Linked DNA regions of Astyanax mexicanus. Each later gene encodes a partner of the first gene's protein in a complex. Links are inferred from orthologs where the notes say so. Each region holds a gene or a part of one and is shown in the gene's direction. Other genes may lie near its edges.

Evidence for each region.
Region 2: synrg (region 1) and aftpha share a complex: the UniProt entries of both Homo sapiens proteins name them as parts of the aftiphilin/p200/gamma-synergin complex. The link is inferred for Astyanax mexicanus from reciprocal best matches to the Homo sapiens genes SYNRG and AFTPH.

Annotation. Positions count from the first base shown.
Region 1 is NC_064425.1:13,216,225-13,225,223, reverse strand, and holds the start of synrg (synergin gamma), read left to right. Parts: upstream 1-4,832; 5' UTR 4,833-4,884; coding exon 4,885-4,919; intron 4,920-8,999. UniProt on the Homo sapiens protein: Plays a role in endocytosis and/or membrane trafficking at the trans-Golgi network (TGN). May act by linking the adapter protein complex AP-1 to other proteins. Component of clathrin-coated vesicles.
Region 2 is NC_064428.1:35,655,319-35,664,240, forward strand, and holds the start of aftpha (aftiphilin a), read left to right. Parts: upstream 1-5,437; 5' UTR 5,438-5,729; intron 5,730-8,922. UniProt on the Homo sapiens protein: Component of clathrin-coated vesicles.

The DNA of each region.
Region 1 (8,999 bases):
TTTTTATGAGGTAGAATCACCTGGAATTCAGGCTTTCAGTTAACAGCTGTGCTGAACTCGTCAAGAGTTAATTACTTGAATTTCTTGCCTTGCATTAATGTGTTAAAGAGCATCAGTTGTAAAGTTGTGAAGAGGTAGAGTTGGTATACAGTGAATAGCTCTATTTAGGTAATGTTCTAATCCATATTATGAGAAGCAAGAACTACTTAACTAAGTAAAGAAAAAATACTTTCTAATTTAATACTAAGAAATTAAGGTTAGTCTATCTGAAAAAAAGAATTTCAAGTATTCTCATGTGCAGTCACTGCGAAGACCATTAAAAACGTTATAATGATGAAACGGGCACTCATCAGGACCACCCCAAGAAAGCATAGAAGAGCAAGAGATTTCTCTGTTTTACAGGATAAGTTCATCAGGCTATTCACTGTATACCAACTCTACCTCTTTACAACTTTACAACTGATGCTCTCAAACACATTAAGAGGCAAACAAAAAAATCAAGTAATTAACTCTTGAAGAGTTCAGCACAGCTGTTAACTAAAAGCCATTCAAGGTGACTCTACATCATAAATGTGACTGAGAAAATGCAAAGATGAGCAAAGCTGTCATCCAAGCAAGAGATGCTACTTTGAAGAATGTAAAATATAAAACACTATAATTCCATAATGTATTTTTTCGTAGTTTGTATGACTTTAGTATTAATATACAATGCAGAACATTTTAAAACAATAAAAAAAATGAATTTAAGGTTTGTCCAAACTATTGAGTGGTACTGTATTTCTGCGTCTACAGTGCATTAGATCACTAAGCCATTTAAGTTATAATTTTAGTGTGTAAGGGGTAAGAGTCATTCAAGAACAGCTGATAGAACCACATAAACAAGAGATTACTATACTTACCTTTATTACCAACAATCTCTACAATACAGAGTTACTATATTCACTAATATCACTTACAACTTCACTGTACACAACACAAGCCTTATGTTCACCATGTCCAGAAGCTCCGCCCACTTCTCTACAATACAGAGTTACTATATTCACTAATATTACTTACAACTTCACTGTGCACAACACAAGCCTTATATTCACCATGTCCAGAAGCTCCGCCCACTTCTCTACAATACAGAGTTACTATATTCACTAATATCACATTGTTCTTTTGAACTTTGTTCACCATGTCCAGAAGCGGCATCATCTTCTCTGGGATAATGGACAATCACACAGTGGAAACATGAAATGTGGTCAGATTGATCAGTATTAGGAAGAAGAAATCAATGTCTTGAGCTTCAGATCAAAGAGGAAAAGAACTATCCTGACTGTTCTCAGTGACAAGTCCAAAAGCCAGGTACTGTCATTTTTTTTATAATATATATTTTTTTAACTAGCATCAGCTCACCAACCAATCAGCACACAGTAGCAGTAAGGCTAGCTCCACTACTGGCAAAAACCTGTTTGCTGTAGAAAAAATGAAATGTACAGGTTTATTGGCTTTGCCTATTTAGATAAATAAATAATTTTACTTTCCAAATTTAAAGGAAATGAAGGAATATCCTGGTAAGGTTGTTATATACTATTTTAAATTTGTGTTTTAGCCATTTAGCTCCATTCACTCCCACTCATTTCAGACTCACTCGCGAGCTCCCTCTAGCGGTTGACAGTAATTTTCTGATTATATCGGCGGAGATAGGGAGATGGGCAGCCTCTCCTTAAACCAGCTGTGGTTTATAGAGAGGCTGAGACTGTTCTCCAGAACAACAGCTCCATCTGGTGTTACTGTTAGATCAGATCAGAAGACCCAAAGCCTTACTAGTCTTTAAAGCCCATACTGTCCTGCTCACTGTTTTGTTCCCCATGCTTTGAAAAACCCAATTAAGGCTTATTAATCAATTACTTATTCATTGTTAATTATTAGAGCAAATAATTACAGATAATTACTTGGTTCATGTGTGCTGGAAGATGCTGGAAGCTGGAGAAGCACTAAAATATGAGTACTGTACTTCTGTAGGTGGATGGATTACAGGAAACTCATAATAATGCAGTGTACATGTAAACAAAATTGATAAAATAAATCAATCAATAAATAAAATACCTTCCACCAGTTTTGTTAGCATGTTTATTACGTATAATATACATTAAAAAAGGGAGGTAAAGTGAATAAATCACATAATCTATCAACAGATTGTCAACAGCTGGGTCATTTTTTAAAAATCCTTTGTATATTTATCATATTATGGAAGCAGGAGAAGCACTAAAATGTGAGACTTCTTCTGTAGGTGAATTGATTATAGGAATTTCTATAATAATGCAGTGTACATGTAAATAAAAATTATATAATACTTAAATAAATAAAAAAATAAAATAAAATGCCTTCCACCAGTCCTGTTACCATTTTTATCATATATAATTTTAGAATTTTATTATAGATAAGGTAAAAAGTAAAGTAAAAAATATCATAATGAGAGTGTCAACAGCTGGGTCATTTAAAAAATCCTTTGTATATTTATCATATTATGGAAGCAGGAGAAGCACTAAAATGTGAGACTTCTTCTGTAGGTGAATGGATTATAATGCAGTGTACATGTAGATAAAATTTATATAATACTTAAATAAATAAAAAAAAATAATATAATGCCTTCCACCAGTCCTGTTACCATTTTTATCATATATAATTTTAGAATTTTATTATAGATAAGGTAAAAAGTAAAGTAAAAAATATCATAATGAGAGTGTCAACAGCTGGCTCATTAAAAAAATCCTTTGTATATTTATGGAACAAAATATGGTTTAGGGCAGGGGTGTCCAAACTACGGCCCGTTTCCTTTTTTGGAGCGGCCCGCGAGGTATTTTAGAAATAGAATGAAAGTTGGCCCGCTGTTAAGCAGGTTTTTATAATGTGAGATTCAAAGTTTGAACGCTAGGTGTCAGAAACGGGCCAAAGAGTCTAAAAGCGGAGAGGGTGCGCATTTCTAGCGCAGAAAAACGGGGCAAAGAGTCTAAAAGCGGAGAGAGTGCGCATTTCTAGCGCAGGAAAACGGGGCAAAGAGTCTAAAAACGGAGAGAGTGCGCATTTCTAGCGCAGAAAAACGGGGCAAAGAGTCTAAAAGCGGAAAGAGTGCGCATTTCTAGCACAGAAAAAACGGGGCAAAGAGGCTAAAAGCTGAGAGAGTGCGCATTTCTAGCGCAGAAAAACAGGGCAAAAGAGTTTAAAAGTTGCTGTAATTAAGGAGTTTAATATTATGAGACATCATGAAATTAAACATCAATTTGAAAAATCTTAGTTTACACAACACTGTCAAAGATAAAGATAGTAAGTCAAGTAAAATGGTGCATAAAGAAATAATCAGGAAAAACGTATTATTTAAAGTGGTATATTTCATTATTTGTTTTATTACAGTGTGGCCCGTGACTTCAAATATATTTCTCCTTCTGGCCCCCAACAAAAAAAAAAGTTTGGACACCCCTGATTTAGGGTTTAGTGGCTCTTTATTGGAAACATGTGGTTTAGGGTTTACGCGCTATTCAGACAAGATTAGTTTCTCAGGGGGTCCTTGGGTAATTTTCTCTTTTATAATTTCCTCTGTGATTTTATTCCCATGGAACAACCATGTATGTGTTTTTCTCAGACGTCCACTGAGAAAATTACAGGCTTAATTACCTACTGTTCTTCACTGAACTCCGTCGTCCTCCGGTAATTTTAGTCCCATCCCGAAAAAAGCACATCTAAAATAACTATTCGTCCACTGCTAAGCACACATAGACTGTTGTATATAAGTATATGGACAGGGCGTCCCCATTTACTCTCATTACGGCGTTTTACAGCCAAACGATGGCCGAAATGGAAGCTGCCATCTTGCGTGCGCTTGCGCAGTAGAGGCAAAGTGGAGCCAGAACAGGAGCAGCAGAGGTGGGAGGCGGGGCCGTGTAACTGCCCAAACCCCGCCCACATGTCGTGGACTCCCACCACCCATATCGGGGAGGCGCACAGCCAGCGCGTCAATCACCACATCGCCACGCCTCTTTATTTATAACAAAAATCCTATAAAACTCAATACATGTAAAGAAAAACACTGGGTGTTATTAACATAGGAGGGGGCTTGCAAAATGTACAGAGCCTAACTTCCCCCCAAAAAAACTGGATGTGTAATTTTAGATAAAAAATTCCATCATCTTCCATTAAAAAAGGGGTTAAAACTTGTACCTCAGCCAGCCACCAGAGAGCGTACGAGACATAGTAGCTTCACTTTTCAACCGCTGTCCTTCTGTCCAAACTCATATACAGTCTGTGGCTGTCTATGGAATCGCATACTACTATACTGCATATTGTATACTAGCTTTAGGCTGATTTAATACGCAAGTAATATTGTAGTATGCCATTTCAAATACTAAGGCTATCTAAGCGCCGTAATTACACTGGGTGCACGTTTCCATTGAGATCCACATAAACACAACAGTGAGTGGAAATGGAGGAGCTACTGAAAGTCATGCCATGTGACCGAGAAAGCCAAAAAAACTCACTGGTCCTCCTGTTTTTTTCAATTGCAGTCAAGATGCAAAAGTTTTATCACTAAGTAGAAGTGTCAAATATTTTTCACAGACGCCCCCCCTGAAAAACTCATTCTGTCTGGATAGGGCTTAAATCAGTTTCAGCAGTGAGGAAAAGAATTTGAGGTCTAAGAGGTGAAGTGCAGTAATAAAGTAATTGATAACATGATAAAATAAAAATGCAGTTTGTCTGATTTTACTAGCAAACAAACAAACAGATTTAAAATCACCAATAACACCAAAAATCACCATCACTACCCAAACCAGCACACACACCCCTCCTCCACAGGTGAGACCGGAAGTTTGGGGGGATGATGTCACTCCACAGAGCTGTGTAAAGATGGCGCTCCGGCCCGGATCAGGGGGAGGCGGCAGGTACAGAAAACCCTTAAATTCAGCGAATTTAACTTGATAACTGTGCGTTTCAGGCGGACATGCTCTGCTAAAGAGTACGGTTATTAAAGCGCGGGCTGGGTTAGGCGTGTTGCGGGCGGAGGGGCACTTTTCCCGGGCTGTATTCTGTGTGTGCTCACGGTGTTAGCCTGTTAGCAGCTGCTGCTAACCGCTCTGTCACTTCTCCGGGTTAGCCAGCCGTGCTAACCGGCTAACGGTCGGGGCGGGTTACATACACCGCTGCGCACCGTGTGAGCTTTTACTGCAGCTAACTGACCATTAATATAACAAAACCAGCCGCCGAGCTTATTAATCATATCTCTGCTTTAGCTAGCTCTGCATTTATCATGACTAGCTTAAAACACTGGGTTCACAGCTAAAGCTAGGGTAGCTAACCGCTATACCAATAACCAGCGCTGCACCTGACCTGCCCACCGCTCTCATTCTGTGTGCAGCTTAACAATGTTCTTATTTAGAGATAATAAGTTATGTTAAGGTACAGTATCATTATTTTGTGATAACAAGTGTTACTAGCTTGTGGTTGTTTTGAGGCACTAAGTCGTTATTTTGAGACGCTAAGTGGTTGTTTTGAGGTACTAAGTCGTTATTTTGAGGCGCTAAGGGGTTATTCTGAGGTACTAAGTCGTTATTTTGAGACGCCAAGTTGTTATTTTGAGACGCTCAGTGGTTATTTTGATGTAACGTTACTAAGTCGTTATTTCGAGACGTTAAGTGGTTATTTTGGTTATTCTGAGACACTAAGTCGTTATTTTACGATGGTAAGTGGTTATTCTGAGGTACTAAGGCGTTATGTTGATGTACTAAGGGGTTATTCTGAGATACCAAGTCGTTTTTTGAGACACCAAGTTGTCATATTGAGATTCTAAATTTTTACTTTGAGGTTCAAAGTTATTACTTTAGTATCTCAAAATAAAAATATATGTATACTGTTGCAAGTCAGCCACTGAGCTCTCATCTGTGGGCGTTTGTTCATCATATTTCCGCGGTAGCTAATTTTGGGTTTATCATTATTGCCTTAAATTGACTGTGTTCTTAGCAAAAGCTAGGCTAACTAGTTAGCTAGCTTACCAGCTAGCCGTTCAATTCATCACTTCAATAACTAGCACTGCACCTGACTTGCCAGCTGTTCTCATTTATTTATTTAGCTTATGTGTTCTGTCTGCAGTTGCAATTTACCGATTAGTCGACATTGGAATTTGGAGTAAACTTTGGAGCATTTTCATAATCAACATTTCCAATTAGTCATTGCAATAGGCCTGTCACGATTATTACATTATGCACTTATCATATACAATAAAGGACATGACCTCAATAATATGTGATAACTGTCTATTGTATTTATTTGTATATTGTGTTTGTTCTTTATGTATATACAGTAGTATGAAAAAGTTTTGTTCACCACTGATCATTTTCATGCTTTTCGTTTTTTTTTTTTTTTTTAAATCATTGGTTGTACAGATTTCAATTTCAGGTAACTGTGTCATATAGCAAACAAACACAGTGATGTGGTGTGATTTTAAAGTGTGCTGTTCATGCTTGGAAACTATCAAACCTGACTGAACTGGAGATGTTTTGTAAAGAAGAATGATCCAAAATACCTTCAGCTAGAAGCTATAGAAAGTTTTTAGAGGCTGTAATTTCTGCAAAAGCAGGATCTACTAAATATTGATAGTTTTTCTGTTGGAATGCCCAATTTTATGCACCTGTGACATATTATTGCACACTGAGGACAGTATTTTAGCCAGTCATGCAATTCCAGACCAGTGCTTCAATAACTGTGACTCCATACATACACTGTGCAGTGACTGCAGTAGGTGAAGAAAAATGTATACATATCATATATTTCCTATTCAAAGAGTAATTAAAATGTTTCTTTTTAAAAGAGTATAATTGCTCTGTTATGTTATTCTATCATTGCTATGTCAGTGGCATTCAGTGGTCTTTAAATGACAATAATATCTTTCGTTTATTTCATTTATTTTCTGGGACAATATATTGTTCACAGGTGTAGTTGTGAAATCAAAATCCAGCGTGAGCTATCTTTTCAGCATGCCAAACAAAGCGTTTATTTGGAAGAATCTTCGAAGCTCATTCAGTTTAATTTAAATACTTATTTAAATACTCCCTATATATTCATATCCCTTCCAGCACCTCTTGCTAAACACACTTTTATGAAGTCTGGCCTGTGAAGAGTTATGCCCTCTCAATCCAGGCTGTCTAATCCTGTTGCCTCTAATTTGGTAATTTGTCAGTATTTGGATGCTGAGACGTTAGCACTCTGTAAGCGTACTGAATTTGGTACCGCTGTGTATATTAAGTCCTATATCTTTCAGAAAAAGGCAGTCTCATAATTTATTTACTGGCAGAGCTTAGGCCTCTGGTGAATGGCTTAAATAATGAATAGCTGGTTCCACGCACCACAGATCCAGGTAATTGTGATACTGAAGGTGAAACCGGATGATGCCCGGTGATGCCTGGAGTGCAAGCCACTAGCAGTGACAAGAATAAAAAAAGCACCTGCAGTTCAGTGAAGTTTGATGTAAACCCTGAACTTGGATTCACTGCACTTCTCTGAATATATTCAGTCTGGAAAAGTTGCATTACACGCTGTTGCTTTTGAGGGATTGGGAGGAAGGGCATTCATATAAAAGGAAAATGTGTCCATACGTGTTTGTTGGTGTCTATGTAGATACAGAAACTTTGTAGCTTGTTTTAAGGCGTGTCAGTGTGTAATTGCTATCATACACCTTACGCAGCATAAAATGCGCAAAAGGCATGTACTAATTCTCTTAATTAATCATGGATGTGTTTTGGGCGTAACATTAAATAAACCAATCAGCATGTCACTTGCCATTCCCTTTAAGAGATATTGTTATTTGAACTGCACATGGTGGGGATGCTGAGTGCTGAGGCCCATACTGCATAAAAGTCTCCAGCACTCTGCTGACTCAATAACTGCTGAGTTTCACACCTGCTCTTAGAGCTGCAAAAGGGGAACCGACTCCACATTTAGAATTTAGAATGTAATGTCATCAAGGTTACTTTAGGTGTATTACTGTGTACATGGCTAGATAAGCTATAGAAACAATACTTATCAAGCCTGTCTTGTCGCTGTTGAAACAAATGGTGCTCCATAGTACCTGAGGATAGATAATGTTCTAGAGGAGGAGCAACAGCTGGTCAGCTGGTGTTCCTGTAGCAGGTGATGCAGGCTGGACGTTGAGTCTGACAGGCTGTGACACATTGCAGGCCAAGAAGGGAAGTCAGCCTTAGCGAGTGAACCACGGCTGAATTAATCAAGTGAGACCAAACCCAGCCTGCTGGCGTTTAACCAGAGCTTGTCTCATGCCAGAAGCATCGATGGAAGCTTGCGTAAACAAGATGTGATGTTGGTGTTAAGTGAGGGATGTTTTTAGAAGCACTTCAGTGAGTGTGTTGTGGAGGTGAAAAGTAAACTGTCAATAGCGATTTTGCAGATTTCCGTTTAAAACCTGACGAATGGCCAACTCTGCTCATTTGTAATATTGCTCAAACTGTTCATTTGGGTCCAAGGTTCACTCATTCTCTGTCATCTTTTGTGGAAGTGGTGATTAATGATGTTTGTTAAGATGTATACTCATTGGGTGCCACAGAAACCACAACAGTGATACTCGTGTTAATGCAGAGTTTTGAAGAAACACCTGACTGGTGTTTTGGTGCTGAAGCAGGCCTGCTGGTGATAAATAAAGACACACACTCAATTCAACAAGGATTCTATTTAATTCTTGAAACTGGATTTGCAGTTGAACACATTTTAAGCAGTTGTAACTGTTTTGAACAATATTTGAATATTGAAATGGGCACTGTTAATGTTTATGCATAATATACTAGATTACACTGGAGCTGGGAGAATGGATCAGTGTGGTGCATGACCAAAACTGCAGTGTGGTGTTGATCGGTGCTAGTTTTCCATGTCAAATATCACAGGTTTTGATTTTGTACTCAGAGTAAATACAACGTGATGTGGCATGCAAAAGTTTGGGCATATCGGTAAAAGGCCCA
Region 2 (8,922 bases), on another chromosome or scaffold:
AAAACTCACCTCTGAGAGAGTTAGCGCTTAGCATCTAGCTAATGCTAGCCAGGCAAAGCAGCACAGACTTACAGGCCGATAACTCACCTCTGAACGGTGAACGCTTAGCGATTAGCATCTAACTCTAATAATACTGCTCCAGCAGTATTAAAAGTGCTAAATTTAGAAAATACTGATCTCTGAACAGTGAAAAAGCTAGCTAGCTAAGCGGTTAGCATCTAGCTAATGCTATTGCTGCTCAGCCTCAGAGCTGCACGGCTCTGGACTCTGTATAGCACTGAAACTCTCTATAACGCTGCACGGAGTGTGTGTTTACTGCTCCTTACAACCTGACGAGTAAAATTTAGATAATACTGATCTCAGTGAATAAGCTAGCTAGCTTAGCGGTTAGCATCTAGCTAATGCTATTGCTGCTCCAGCCTCGGAGCTGCACGGCTCTGGACTCTGTATAGCACTGAAACTCTCTATAACGCTGCACGGAGTGTGTGTTTACTGCTCCTTACAACCTGACGAGTAAAATCCATACAAAAGGCGCACTGTATTATAAGACGCACTGTCAATTTTTGTGAAAATTAAAAGTTTTTAAGTGCGCCTTATAGTCCGAAAAATACGGTAATACATTTAATGTTACATTTAAATATAGCTTTATTATAATTGAAATATACTTAAGTTGCCATAAGTTGTTCCAAAATAGTACATTTAACATGTATTTAAGTACGTTTTTTTAATAATAATAAAAAAAAAGGATGTACTATTTCATGTTAAGTATACTTTTGAAAAATATACTTAAATACACTTTTCTTCTACAAGGGACTGTTTTAAAATTTCTTGATAAATTGACCAATAGAACAGCCTTAAATATATATTTTTTTACATTGACTTACATTAAAAAAGTCAAGAAAGGTTTTTCCTTCTCCTGTAAAGCTGCTGTTTTGGAGAAGCTGCATGTTTTTCATTGGAGAGCGACGATTTGTGATTTGCTATTTCCATTCCATTAGAGTTAAGGGTAAAAGCATTTTCTATGATTTTATATTGTATTTCTTATAACTGGCCCACCCGCATTCCACACGCGGATCATTAACCAGCACAGATCATCACTGATGTGCATACGGATTATTGTAATACAGAGAATGAGATAATAGAGATAAATAATAGAGAAGACATGCGTTCAGATCGAGCCTTCAGACATTCCACTCATGCCTGTTTATATTTCTGATAGCACTTTCAGCTAAAGTGTTAAAGGAGTGCTCTAGTGCTCCATGTGTTTTTTATTTAACAGAGTAAATTCCCTGTACTTGGGAAAAGAACAGGAAAAAAATGACTAAATGACTAAAACAGCATTAATAACAGAAGCTTCATGGTCACATGCTAATGTTTAGTTATTTCTAATTAAATTTTCTGACCGTTTTAGGTTAAATGTTTCATTTTTTTTAATGTAGTGCAGTGTACAAGAAATAGCAGTTTAAATTTTTTTTTATTCGATATGAAGAAATATGAAGGTTTTCATCCAATTTTTCAATTATCGAGTTTTTCATTTCAGCCTTTTGCAAACAGAATTTTAAGAAAAATGAAAAGTTAAATGTTCTCTCGATTTTCAGATTTGTCCATTTTTGTATCTTGTAACACAACATACAAAAAATATAAAAATTGGAAAATCAGAAAATAAAATACATTTTTTCATTTTTCCTGAAATTACGATTTTGAGGATTGGAAAAATTGATAAAAACTTATTTTTGTGCACTGCACTAAACAAATATTGAGTTTTTACATCCAATTTTCTATTTTTGCATTTAACCTCAAATGGTTAGAAAATTAAATTAATAAACGTTACACTGACCCTTCATCTCCATTGTCTTCTGTTATTAGTGAGTTTGAGCCTTTTGTCTTTCTCATTTTCTAGATGCACAAAGTTTTAACCATTCCAGAAATCCCCTTACTGATGGGACGCCTCTATTTCCCTCTATTTCCCTCTATTTCCCTGTATTTCCTCAAGCCTAAATTAATAATAGTGCAGTTTACATCTAATACACTATTCCTACTGTATAGAGTTCAGTGCTCAGGAATACTCCACAAACAAGTGTATTTATTTCTCTTAATATATACTGTTAAAGTCTTACTACAGGGCAAGCCTTTTCAGCCTAACTCAATTTTTTTTTATTAGTAAAAACTTTAAAATAATTACAGATTTCTGTAATGCAGCTTTTACTAGTAGAATTCTTGTTTCATATAAACTATAACTGTTTTTACTGTTAATAATATCTGATAAGCTCTGAGTGGTCCAGCGCTGGCCAAGGTGCTGCCACTATGATCCGAGGATCGCCGGTTTAAATCCCTGATCACGCTGCTTCTGCATCAGCAGCCAGAGTCCGAGAGAGTTCAGTTAGTTGGTTACAACTCAACCACCTAGCGTCAACTTAGGCTCAAACGGCTTGCCCTACTTTTACTGTACATAAAAAAGAAAGCTATGTGTGGGAATAAATGAGACTAATATATGGTGATATTATTTTGTGGCATTCCAGATACTGTATACTAAATGCCATATGTTATACAGTATGTGAGGAAAATGGTGATTATTGCAGTGTACTGATTGTTTTTTTTTTCACAGTGCTACAGTGATACTGAATGTTCAGAGATTTTAAAGAGCATTTTTGATTTGTACTGTACTTAGCTATAAAAATATAAATAGGCCTTTAAATTATGAAATGAATGTGAACAGCATTTTGTACTGTAAGGATACATAAATAAACACGTAATACTGAAGTATAATAAAGATAATGTTGTTTTAATTAACTACAGCAATACATTAGACCGGCAGATGATGGAAAAATGCAGTGGAATTGTTTTGAAATGTTTGCATTTTGAGTTTTGTTTACTGGCCTCTCAGTATTGAATGTTTCATTGTCTTACAATCAGTAAATAATTAAAGATGTCTAATCAGTATTCAGTGGTCTTTATATTGGGTAGTTTGTTGAATTAATCAAATTACAGTCATTGAGAAACAAACTATGTAAGTGTAAGTGTTTAATATTTAGTGGAATAACCCTGGTTTTAATAACAGTTTTCATGCATCTTGGCATCATGTTCTCCTCCACCAGTCTTACACACTGCTTTTGGATACCTTTATGCAAATCACTCCTGGTGCAAAAATTCAAGCAGTTCAGTTTGGTGGTTTGATGGCTTGTGATCATCCATCTTCCTCTTGATTATATTCCAGAGGTTTTCAATTTAGTAAAATCAAAGAAACTCCATTTTTAATTGCTCTCTTATTGTTTCCAGAGCTGGATATTGAATAAAAATTAACAAACAAAAAACAATACAATCTACAACTAAAAGGCCTTTTTTTAATTATGCTAAATCGTGTACTAATGGCTGAGGATTGGGGTTTGATCCCTTTAAGGATATTTAATTCCCGTGGCACATTCCAGAATAGATTATAGAGGTAGACTGTTAACTCCTTATTAAGCATAGCACATTTTCCTCTCTTTCTTTTTATTACATAAAAAGTTTATTTTCTCAGCTGAGCTAAATATACATTATTTGGTCAAAATTATTGGGACACACAGCTAGACATGCAGCAAAATGGCAAATATACAATGCTTTCATGCAGCCCTGCTATCTATTCTTCTAGAGTTCCGGCGAACTCCCTTATCATTCTGCTGCTAACTTCCTCCTAGTGTCTTTTTATACACAGTAGCTAAATATAAGTCAGTGTTGCTGCTCAGTCTCTGTGAAATATACTGTATACAAGTATATACACCAGTTGGGAGCCATGCCTTTAAATATCACTTAATAATTTCTGGAAATTAGTTATAGATATATTATTATAAATATCTTTAAAATAATATTGTGTTTTATTTTTACTCATAAGAAATGTGTTTGTTTTTAAACTCTTTTATACACTGGCAGGATCCATTAGCTTCCATGGGACATGCCAAAAATCATGGGACACAATAGTAGCTGCCAGTGTAGTACCACTCAATTCATTGTTAAGTTGGATGGCAACAAAAATATATATATTATATATATTGGTGTGATCTAAAATTTCACTCAATTCATTCTGGAGGTCCCAGATAGGCTATATCACTCACTGTGAATAGAGAGTATCAGTAGTCCAGACTTTTGCCCATTCTGAACACAATTATTTTTCAATAGTTGAATTAAACATATTGCACAAAAATATATAACATCAAAAGTGGTGTGAAGAAAAGTGAAGGCACATTTAATATTTTTTTTTTCAATATGTTGAATTCAGTAAATAAGTAAAACAACTATTTTGTTCATTAGTTTGTTTGGCATTTTATATTTATATACTCAAAAAAATGCCCAAACTTTTGCATAACACTGTATGTATGTAGGGCTAAACAGATTTCTAGTTTTAATTTTTGTATCTCTTTGTATTTATCAATGATTAATCCAACACAACACGTGACCTGTCTGTGTGTTCTACTTTACACAAGCACAGCGCCTGCTGTCGCGCATGCGCAGAACTACCAGCGACAACTCAACTGTAAAAACGCGTAATAATAAAATACAGATATAAATAAAAATATTTAAAACTAAACTAAAATAAAACTGAAAAATAATAATTTCGAAAACTAATCATTTAAATATATTTGCTTTGTTTAGTTTTATTTTAATATTTGAAAAAATACGTATTTAACTTTTTGTTTTATCAATTGTTTTAAAGAAAATATTTCTTTAAAATGTTAAATGTGTGGTTTTGATGGTTTTAATGATTTTAGTTTAAGCTTTTTCTAAATAATATACAAAAAACATGTTAAAAAAATAAAAAAACATGCTAATAGCCCGGTAATATTAAATATAACACATGAACTCTAAAGCAAAAAAAAAAAAAAAGATAAATCCGATATAACATTCAAATTTACTGCTTTTTTGCTTGTTTGAATGTGTTAATATACCAGATGTTTCAAATAAAAAATAAATCAAGCATCGTCTCAAAACGTCTCTAATATGAAATATTGTCCAATAGAGTTTGAGTGTGTCCAATACAGAATAGAGTGTGTTTTTTCACTGTAATATATTTTTCTTTTGGCTTTAGTGTTTTGTGTATATTATGTTATGCTTTTAATTAAATAGGAAATATGTTGGGTCAAAAACGTCTGCAATATAAAACGTTTGGTGTGTTTTTTTTCACTGTTATATAATTTTATTTTGGCTTCAGTATTTTTGTGTTTATTGTGTGTGTGTATAATAATAACAAGCAGGTACTTAACCTACTGGAACACTGTAATATTTAATCGGCGGTTAATACAGTGTTATTATTATAGGGATATATCAGAATTAGATGAAATAAGGCATGCAAATATTATTTAAAAAATAAAATACATATAATTGTAATAAAACTGACTGTAGGCTGTTTTTGAGGTTTGAGGTGAATGGGCTGGAGATGGTGGGGAAGGCTGGAGCTGACCCGGAGCTCCGTCACTAGTTGCATGCTGTGTGTGTGCTGATCTGGAGAGGGCAGTGCAGAGAGTGTGTGTGTGTATTTAAATGAGTGTATATGAGTGTGTGTGTGTGTATATGAGAGTACTGAATGTAGTTTAGCCTTAGCTTTAGCCTCTGCCGGGCTCTGAGCTCCTCTCCTGGGTCTCACTGAGTTTCTCTCCAGGGTCCGCGGCGGCTCTCCAGACCCGCGGTTGATCGTTTCAGCGGCGGGAGGACCTTCAGGCCGGGCCCGGGTGATGGGAGCGAATCTGCGGATCCGCGCGGTAATTAATCCCGCTGCACTGGCTGTATTCACCCTGCCTTAAAGCTAGGCTGACCGCTAGCGGCTAACAGCTAACAGCTAACGACAGGTCTGCCTTATTAAACGCGCTTATTACTGAGCGCTGAATAATTAGACAGCTTAAATTTATATATTTATATAAACGTGTTTTTTTCGTGTCATTAATTCACGAGTCGTGTCGTTTTTTATTTACTATATTTAACATTTAATAGCTTAAATCAGAGCCTGATAGGTGGCTAAGCTAACTTAGCATAGTTTAGCTTAGCATAGTTTAAATAACCCAGATGAACTGGGCTGGGCCGCTTTAGCAAACACAGGTGCAGCCCGTCCTCAGCGCTGTTTATCTCCCGATTAATCCCCTCATTTATCATTTTCTTACTGCCGCTCAGTCACACACAGCTTTAACAATGATTAAATATGTTTAATTTAGGCATGACACCGGTTTAAACGTGTTAATATTCCTTTATTTTCCTGATAACCGCCTCCTAACACTAAGCTAGCTAACTAGCTGAGCTAGCGTTAAGGAGTTAGCTCAGCTGCTTCAAGCAACTTCATGAACACACGTATATCTATTCAGATTATAGACACTTATCTAGGTTTAAGGTGGTATTTTTGAGCTGTTTTAAGGATTTATCACGAGATTAAAGCTTGACTGTCTTTATAATCTACGTGCTAGTGCGTACATGAGTTATATTATGTAAATAACCCAAGCTAAATATGTGTAGGTAAGTTTCAAAGTCAGCTGTGTACACAGCATATGGTAGCCAGAGGTGGTGGTTTGGTGTCATTATGCAATTATTTTAAATCTAATATACAATTACTTAATGGCTTATTAACTATATTCACATTTTTTAACGTGTAATTAAGTGCTATGTAATGAGATGTTTACATTGAGTGAATCGTGGTTTAAAGAGGTTTAAAACATCTTTTAGATAGGTATGTTATTGATGGCAAAATAGTGAAGAATCTGCCACGTTCTTAAATCGTACTGATTTTATTTAAGCATTGAATACGGAAAAATCAATTTTATATCTATAATGTTATATATATGTCCCAGTTCCTTATAATCGAGCACTAGTTTTGGAGTATAAGGTATGTTGAGTAAAGTTGAGTATACTCAAATTTCCATTGCCATACACCATAGTTTAGTGTGAAAACAGTGAATGCTGTTGTCCCACAATCATGTCTCGAATAGTAGCTGCATTCTAAAATTTAGGCTGCAGCTGATGTATCCTTCCCATCCCTCTGTTACCCACAGTTCTCTGTGCACAAAAAACATGGCTGTCAAAAAAACAATACAAAAGTGATGGAAAACAAATTCTCTGGAGCTCACAGCTAATCTGAAACAGCTTGTTTTAATAATTCTAAATTATTTATGTAAAGAAATATAAAAAGGAGATTTTTGTGATCCAGTGTCACAATGTGACGTTAGCATATAACATCAACACAAATCCTCATTAGATAGTTCTGTGCCAATACTACTGACCAATAAGTTACTAAGAAAGAGTATTTACAGGTACACTATCAGGCAAAAGTTTGGACACACCTTTTTTGATTCGGTGTATTAGCTTTGAGGGCAGATCTGCTCCCTCTCATACCATATCTCAAAGTAAGTGCTCTAGGAAATGGACGTTTACATAGATAGAAGAATTTAAATAGGTAGGATCCTGCAAAAATGTTTACATTAATGGGGAAACCCTAGCTAGAAACCCTATCCTAGTAAAAGCAGGCGCTTTATATTACTTTTACAGTCATAATCTGTTATAATGTGCTTATCTGCACATATCAACACATTACATAAACTGCATGCCAAGTTTTGCAGCAATCCATGGTGCATTATTTGTTTTTGGTATTTGTTTTTTTTCCACCCAGCACTCTGTGTGTATCCCTTAACCATGAATGGATTTTAAAGCATAGGTTTCAGACCCAGAATCTACTAAAATCTGTGTTAAACACTATTGATGCCTATTAATATTCACTACTCTCAACAGTTCTGACTCTGTTCTGACGTTTCACAACACTGTTTACATGTTAGTGATTTTGATTATGCAGTAAATTGTGAAAAGTCAATGTCTCATCTATAATGCAAAAGCTACTGTATAGATTTTTTTATGTTTTGAGTGAATGCTGGAGGGAATTCCCACTCAAAGTGGTTTAAATATTTCAGCACTTCTCTAATATAAAGGGTGCTTAAATATTAAAATCACTACTCAGTTTGGGAGAATCAGACTTCCCGTAGAAACGGAAATGGTCTTAAAATAGAGATATCTGAATGCTGTTAAAATGCTGAGCTCTGTTTTTGTTATCGGGGGATTTAATTATAGGAAAAAGAACCCACCAGTCAGTATTCCCTGTCGACTGTGGTCCTGTGGTCAGACTTTGACCACTAATGAAGCTGTAGAGATCTGCAGAAGTGTAGAGGTGATGAGGGGGACAAACACATTGAATATCCATAGTTTATAAATGTGTATGTTTTTATATATGCTTTCTAGTCAGTCCTTAATGTTTTTAATTAAGTCAGACATTGATGTATGCCATTTTTGAGTATATTGTTAGATAGTTATACAGGATGAGGTCTGTAGTGAGTGAATCACTAGAATGAAGAAGTGTTTCAAGCTTGACCCACTCAAATGACTTTGTTAAAATTTTAACCATATATTTACCCATCACAATCATTACCACCTCACTCTTTTATCCACTATGGGGGGTAATATTAGTCTTCTATTAGTGCAGGGTGGTGTGACCAAAGGTTTGTGACTTTGTCTGCTGTTAGGAGTATATATAATATAAAACACTAAGGCTTTAAATTAAATAAGGCTTTGATTACTATTGGATTTACTTTGTCCCACAAAATTACACAATATTTGAAGAAATCCAACTTTATTAGCAGACAAAGAGCCGAAGAATGCAAACAATAGACCTTAAAAAAGCTTTTAACACAGCTTTTATTACAAAAATAAATGTGTTTTAAATAGTTCAATAAACACTATAAACGGACCTTAAATGCTCAATGTTTAAGTATTTTTGAGTTTTTGAGTTATTTTCAGGCATTTTCTTAAAAGCTTTATTGCACAAGTAGGACAAAAATGTAATATCAGATTACAATATGTTATTATTGAAGCCATTACAGGCATTACACTATTAAAATCAGCCATCATTCATGTCTCTTTTCTGTG